2 linked regions of the Ovis aries genome follow. The protein of the gene in region 2 binds, or shares a complex with, the protein of the main gene of each other region. Links are inferred from orthologs where the notes say so. Each region holds a gene or a part of one and is shown on either strand. Other genes may lie near its edges.

Region 1 (3,651 bases), on a different chromosome or scaffold from region 2:
GGGACAGCCTATGAGCCCCTGTTGTCCAGGCCTCCCCGGCCCTGCAGGTGTGCACACATGCTCCCCCCAGCCAAAGCTCCAGAGCGCTTTCCTGGGGCCCCAGGCTGAGCTCCGGACCAGGCTGAAGGAGGAGCTGGAAGGGGATGTCGGGAGGGGTCCTGATGCGGCTGCCCCCGGAGCCCTCATCTGTGTGCCCTCTGGGCCCAGCGGCACAGCAGGAATGGGCAGACAGCCTTGTAGATATTTTTCTAACTTTTCTAGAGGATGGGGTGGGGGAGTGGACTTTGGGGGTCTGGGCTCCTGGAGGGCCTCTGCCTGCCCGAGCATCCTGCTCCCCACTGAAGCTGCCCCACATTGCTCCTGTTGTTCTCAGTTTCCGACACCTATTTTGAATCCTCCAGTAAACACTGGGCCAGGCCCAGCTGCCTTCTTGCTCTGTGCCTGGCTTTGCTGGTGTCCTTCTATGGACAAGGGGCTGGCTCCTTGAGAGAAAGAAGGATGGGAGGGGGGCTGTGAGAGTAGGGATGGGGGCTCCCCACCTACTTGGGACCTGGTTCTTCTTCCCGAGTCCACAAGGTGCCTCCTCTTCAGGCCCCTTCTTCACCCTCAGCCAATGGGATTAAGCAGGTTAAGCTCAAGCCTCAGATGACCAGGCTTCAAGTCTGGGCTTTGCACTTAGCAGCTTAATGACTGCACAGAGTACTTTGCCTCTCAGCGCCTCTGTTCCTCTTCCTGTGAGTCACAGCAATTGTTAACAGGATTGTTGTGGACATTAAATTAGCGAATGTGCAGGAAGCATGTAACGGGGCAGGGCCATATGAAGCGGTCCATAAGCATGGCTGTTCTCTGCCTTCTCACTCCCTGGATATGCAGCCTCTGTCCTTTAATTCACATATGTTCCCTGCTCCCCCACCCCCACCCCCTGCCAAGACTCAAAGTCCTAGGAATAGCCATATGGATGAGTCAGGGACATTTTGCATCATAAGTGAAAGTGAAAGTCGCTCAGTTGTGTCCAACTCTTTGCCACCCCATGGACTATACAGTCCATGGAATTCTCCAGGCCAGAACACTGGATTGGGTAGCCGTTTCCCTCTCCAGGGGATCTTCCCAACCCAGGGATTGAACCCAGGTCTCCCACATTGCAGGTGGATTCGTTACCAGCTGAGCCACCAGGGAAGCCCAAGAATACGGGAGTGGGTAGTCTGCCCCTTCTCCACTGGATCTTCCTGACCCAGGAATCGAACCAGGGTCTCCTGCATTGTGGAGACTCTTTACCAACTGAGCTACCATGTCATTAAGGAGGGAGTGAAGGTGATGCACGGCAGACCTTCACACTTGGATATGAGGGGATAGAGGCAGAGTTGCACCAACACCATGCTTCCTTTCTTTGCTGCAGGTATGAAGATGAAATTAACCGTCGCACAGCTGCTGAGAATGAGTTTGTGGTGTTGAAGAAGGTGAGGGGGGCATACAGGGAGGGTAGGGGACACTGTAGAAACAGGGGCCCGGGGACCACATGCCTCTCACCAAAGCAACCAATAGGGACCTGTGGTCAGAGTCTGGTGGGTCTATAAGAGGGAAATGATGGGCTTGGAGAAGGAAAGATTTGAAAGCCAGGCCCTTTATAAGGCTATAACGTGTACATGTATGTGTGTGTGCGTGTGGTGTGTGTGTGTGCGTGTGGTGTGTGTTTGTGCATGTGTGTGTGTGTGGCAAGTCAGTAGACTTGTTTCTGGGCTTGGAAAGATTAGAATTAAGACGACAAGTTGGAGGTTGGAGAGGGCAATTGCAACCCCACAATAAGTAAGTGTTCTATCAGTTAGAACATTCAGTTACGGATGAGGGTGGCACATGGCCAGCCTGAAATAGTGAATGAATGGGCTGCCTTGAGGCAGAGTGAGCCTTCCTATACCTGGAGGTGTGCAAGTTGAGTTTGGAAGACCTTAGGAATAAGGGCTTGACTTAAGACTATGCTTTAAAGTACACTTACTCAGTGTCCCAGGCCCATCCACAGAAATGTAACCTGCCCTGGAGTGCTGTGCCCTTGGAGATTCAGGGATGAGTGGAAGTGAGCGCTCCCCACCGGAGGAACCCACAGCAGAGGATGGTGCCCAGACATCATCTGGACTTGTGGTGTTATCTGTGGCCTGCCTGCTTCAGCATCACCCAAGTTGCCAGTTACACATTTGGGCTGGAGATTTCTCATCTCTGGGTGTGGTATCCTGGAGTCTGCATGATTTCATGCTCTCCCATTTGACTAATGAAAAGCTGAGGCTCATGAAGTTATAATGATTTGTTCAAGGTGACATAGCCACTAGGGGGCAGAGCCGGCGGTGTGTCTAAACCACTGAAGCCTTTAGGAACTGGTGAAGCGCTCGGTTTGGGGCTTCAGAATGCTCTGGGCTGTCAGTGCTGAGAAGGCACCTCCAGTCCTGGGGCTGAGTGGAGATAATGTCCATCTCAAAGCCTGGGCGGGTCCACTGGAGGGAACTTCCTGCTGTGGATATGTCAGGCAGCATGGAGCTGCTGCATGTTTCTTGGTAGGGCAGTGGGGTTTGGTCCTGGGATTGGAGAGTACTGGCTGCCAAATGTTTCATGTACTGAGAACACGCTATCCATCTACCCCTTCTGCCACCACCCCTCCCAGGACGTGGATGTTGCCTACATGAACAAGGTGGAGTTGGAGGCCAAGGTGGATGGCCTGAATGACGAGATCAACTTCCTCAGGACCCTCTATGAGCAGGTGGAGACCTCAGGGGTGGGAAATATGCCACACCCTGCCTGTCCTAGCCAGGGGGCCATCTGGTCCGCCCTCTGCCTCTGGGTCAGTCTGGGTGTGTGTTGAGTGCATGTAGCGGAGATGACCCTGCTCTTTTCTAGATTCAGGAATTGGTGGTGGGCGAGGAGCTCAGGAAGAGCTGAGGCAGTGTAGCAGGGGGGTGAGAATGGGGGGTGGGGTGTGTGTCAGTCAAAATTGGCCTTCTAGAGACAGGGGATGACCATTTGTAAGGAAGGGGGATTGGGAGGGGCTGGAAGAAACCAGGAGGATGTTGAGGGATCTGGGCTGTGAAGGGGTTCATGGGTGCGCTGGGTGGGCTGGCAGGGGAACCAGGTCAGGAGAGGCTGGAGTGCCTGAGGATGTACGCCCACCACCCAGCCTCTCTCTCTGCCTGCCCCTCCCATCTCCTTTCCTGCCCTGCCCTGAGCTTCCAGATCCTTTCCCTGAAGGGGGTCAAAAACCACTTCATCCCATTAGAGTGAGGCTCTGGCCTTAGGCAGAAGACAGTATGGTTGATCGTCAGGCTGGTCTGGGACATAGTTACACCAGAGGCGAACTACAGACTAGTTCTTACTCCTCTTCAGTCTCGCTTTTACCTGAACATCCAGCTTCCATTTGCATCTCTGAGAGAATTTCCACGTGTGTTAATTTCGGGGGCTGGATCCTTGAAGCTGATTTTGGGCCCTCCTAGTCTCATTGTGGGTCTTTGTATGTCTATCACATGTTATATGTGTGTGTGTGTGTGTGTGTGTATACACGTATATGTAATTATTTTCCTCTCGTTATGAAGTACATACTCATTGCAAAAAATCTAGAAAATTAAGTAAAGGATAAAATTGAAAAAAAGCTTCCTATGCCATCTCTTATCATCT
Region 2 (3,651 bases):
ACAAGTGAGCTGGGAAGCTGCAACTCGAGAAGCAAGAGTCTCTCCTGCAGTAAAAAAAAGATAATTGCACATTTGAGAATGCAAACAGCAGACAGTTATTAATGTTATTTATGTTTAAATATCCACACAATGCAGATGAGGCATGTTCAGACCTGAACAAGTCTCATTTTCTATCATTTTGCCCTAAATATTGCTTCTAGTACATATGATTTCACCTGGAAGTGTTTCTTCCAAGGAGATTTTTAAAAGAATAAGGAAACAACTCACCTGGCATAGTCACCATGGGTGTCCCTGCCCAGAGAACATCCATCCCTGTGGTGTGTCCATTACAAAGGGGAGTGTCTAGACAGACATCAGCCAGCTGGCCTCTCCGGACATGTTCCTCTTTAGGAGCAACAGGTGAAAAAATGATACGGTTCTGAGGAAGTCCCATATTTTGTGCATACTGTTGAATATTAGGTTCTCCTACTGCTGGAAAACGTAACAGCCACAGTACACTATTGGGAACACGCTTCAGAATCTAAAATAGGGAAAACAAGAACAAGTATTAATAGCTCTGCCCTTCTCAAGAAGGGCTCCCATAAATTTCTAGTAATTCTACCATATACCATACTCTATGCTACTCACCTAGAAAGCAGCTTACTGTGAACTTAAGTTTTTTTTTTTTTTTCACATAGATAAACTAGATCAACTGGGTTATAGTGTTCTGCTTAGCTGTCCCCAAACACAGTTCAAAGAAACAGGAGACTGATGTAAGAAGCACAAAACAAGTAACTAATTGGAAAAATCTGAGGCAGCTATGTCCTGTGGGAACTGATACTAGGAGTGGTTTTTGTCCACAAGATAGGAATTTTCCATTTCAGCTTTCAAATTCCCCAGCATGGTACAACAAACAAAGTTAGCTCACATTTGCCAAACTTTATTTGCCCAATCTAGATCAGGGGTCGGCAGATTTTTTTCTGTAAAGGACCAGACAGCAAATATTTTTGCTTTTGATGCCAGCATGGACTCTGTCATAACTATTCAATTCTGCCCTCGTCACTGGAAAGTAGCCACAGACAATATGTAAATTAGTAGGCATAGCTGTGTGTCAATAAAATTTTATTTACAAAAACAAGCAGTTGGGACTTTCCTGGCAGTCCAGTGGTTAAGACTGTGCTTCTACCACAGGGGGTGTGTGTTTGATCCCTGATTGGGGAACTAAAAGCTGGCATGCCTCACATTGTGACCAAAAACAAACCGAAAAACCAAACAAACAAAATAAGAACAAGCAGCGCACTGGATTTGGCCCACTGGCCACAATTTGTCAACCTGATTTAGATCCACATCTATTCAATTATGTTCACCATCCCTTCACTCAAAGTCATGAGAACAGACAGATTTCAGAATTTAGAGTATTTCAGATTTTTTAAAAGTAGTACATAAGTATAAATTACATAATGTGCTCAGCAGCAACTTCCTGTAAACAAACATATTAATATCTTTCCATCAAGATGTAGAATATTCATACTAAATGGAATAAAATAAAGAATCATAAATAGCTTAACATCATTTCAGGCAGTTTTGCTACCAAATAAATTACTGCAAACTTATGAACATGTTTTTGGTTTTCAGGTTTTTTGAAATGGGGAACTGAAAACGAAGGGATAGTAAACCTGAACTCATCTGCTTCCTCTTCTCCTCCACCCTCCCTCCTTCCAAAAAAAAAGAAAACACACCAAAAAACCCAGATATTGATCAGAAAAAAAGTCAACCAAGAATTATCTCCATTTTAGCTCTATGGAATAAAAACCAGGTATGGATAGCAAAGTTTAGAACCTTCAGAGGTCCTGCTTACACGAAGTAGTACAATGAAATGACTGATATAGGTAACGGCATAAACCAATTCCTTCCTAGTTTTAACTCTACAATATTGCAAGAATGCTACTAAACACGGATGAATATACATTAACAGCTTTACTATCAGCTTAGACCATGAGTTGGCAAATATAGCCTATGAGCCAAATCTGACATATCTCACGTATTGCCCGCTTTTGTAAATAAAAATTTATTGGAACATACCTACGTTCATTCATTTACATAAGTATGGTGTTTTCCTGTTACAACGGCAGAACTGAGTAGATATGACAGACAGTATGGACTGAGAAACCAAAAATATTTACCACTTGGCCTGAAGAAGTTTGCTTTTAAATACATCAATTTTAAAAGTCCATAATTTGATATTTAGACACATGAAAGAACATAAAAAACTGCCGAAACCTACAGCTCTTTTGAAAATTAGACATGAGCACAATAGTTCCTGAATGGGGGTGGGGGAGGGGCAGGCAGCCTCAGCAAGACGGCCTATATACAGAATCTTTTCTAGAATCTCTAGACATTAATAATGAATCTACACATACTCACATTTGCCCACATCTGCAAAGTAGAAGGGTCAATTTTATATAACTGATTAAAGTTACAGTACACAATGGCATCTTCTGGTAGCCCATACTGAGACCGTGTGGTTACAATAATGGTACGAGGAACCTCTTCTCCAGTGGCAGCCTTATTGTTGATCTACAGCAAGAAAAAGAATATGAATGACGATTATACTTAAAGTCAACATACTCCAATATTTTTCAATCAATAAAGAATCCTTATGATGCAAAGTGGTATAACCATTAAAAGTCATATAACTAAACTACAATGGGAAAATACTTGTGACGCATTAAGTTAAAGGAAAAAAGTTAGGGCACTATCTTAATTTGGGGTGGACTGCACTATGAAACATCTCACTCTAGCCAAAAAGTTCTCTTCAAAATCGTATAAGTCCAATAGCAAGCTTCTTCTCACTCTTTTTCTTCATGAATGAAATGTCCTTTTCTAAATCACATCCACCTTTCAGGACTAAACTTCAGTTACCAAACAATCTCTGTAAAAGCTCCTCGCCTCACCACTATTTCTGAGCATCTACATACATAATTATAGTCTTATCTTGCAATTCCCACACATCTGGGGACTACCTTACATTGTTATGTAACTATTCCAGGTGTGATGGACGTCTCATACAAATGGGCATTGTGTTCTACATTCAAAATTCTTTGCCCTTGTACACTTCAAGTATTACACTTTTTTTCCCTTAAGTCAAGCATGTCTGCCCTATTGTTTCAAAGGACGGTTAACCAGAAGGGGGGGAAAAACACATCAGTCTTTTCAACTCACCTGAATTCACTTCAAGCACCCTCTGTATAAATTGCTATACCACTAAAACTTTTAACTCCTAAGAGGCCAAAGATGCTTGCCTTATATCTCTTGACAGAGCTACACATTCACTTATTCAAGTACACAAGCAATATATATTTACTGAGCACATACTACATTACAGAGGCTAAGATACAGGCTCTAAAGTAATTCAATTCAGTGGCAAATACATTCAAACCCAGGACTTAGAATGTGTTGTGCTGGATGTAAAGATACATGCCAAATATTTCAGAAGCAGAGAATACAGGTACCAATGGAGCAGGGAAGGAGAGGTTACAGATATGGACAGAAACAGATTGTCGGAGGAGCTGTCTGAACTGACAGTCTTAAGAGATGAGTAAGATTTAACTGGGGAAAGGATGAATTATATAGAAGCAAGAAACTGTACGATGTCTACAGATATTTCACCAT

The links. Proteins that work in one complex are often made in the same cells at the same time.
Region 1: the proteins of OGT (region 2) and keratin, type II cytoskeletal 7 are in contact, whole or in part, in a crystal structure (PDB 4XIF), measured with the Homo sapiens proteins. The link is inferred for Ovis aries from reciprocal best matches to the Homo sapiens genes OGT and KRT7. Residues at the interface, in NP_858058.1 of Homo sapiens: His506, His508, His509, Asn567, His568, Pro569, Tyr642, Thr643, Lys644, Gln849, Phe878, Val905, Ala906, Pro907; in NP_005547.3 of Homo sapiens: Val9, Phe10, Thr11, Ser12, Arg13, Ser14, Ala15.

The regions. Positions count from the first base shown.
Region 1 is NC_056056.1:134,145,621-134,149,271, reverse strand, and holds part of keratin, type II cytoskeletal 7, read left to right. Parts: intron 1-1,396; coding exon 1,397-1,457; intron 1,458-2,647; coding exon 2,648-2,743; intron 2,744-3,651.
Region 2 is NC_056080.1:64,228,791-64,232,441, reverse strand, and holds part of OGT (UDP-N-acetylglucosamine--peptide N-acetylglucosaminyltransferase 110 kDa subunit), read right to left. Parts: intron 2,557-3,651; coding exon 2,404-2,556; intron 521-2,403; coding exon 268-520; intron 45-267; coding exon 1-44. UniProt on the Homo sapiens protein: Catalyzes the transfer of a single N-acetylglucosamine from UDP-GlcNAc to a serine or threonine residue in cytoplasmic and nuclear proteins resulting in their modification with a beta-linked N-acetylglucosamine (O-GlcNAc).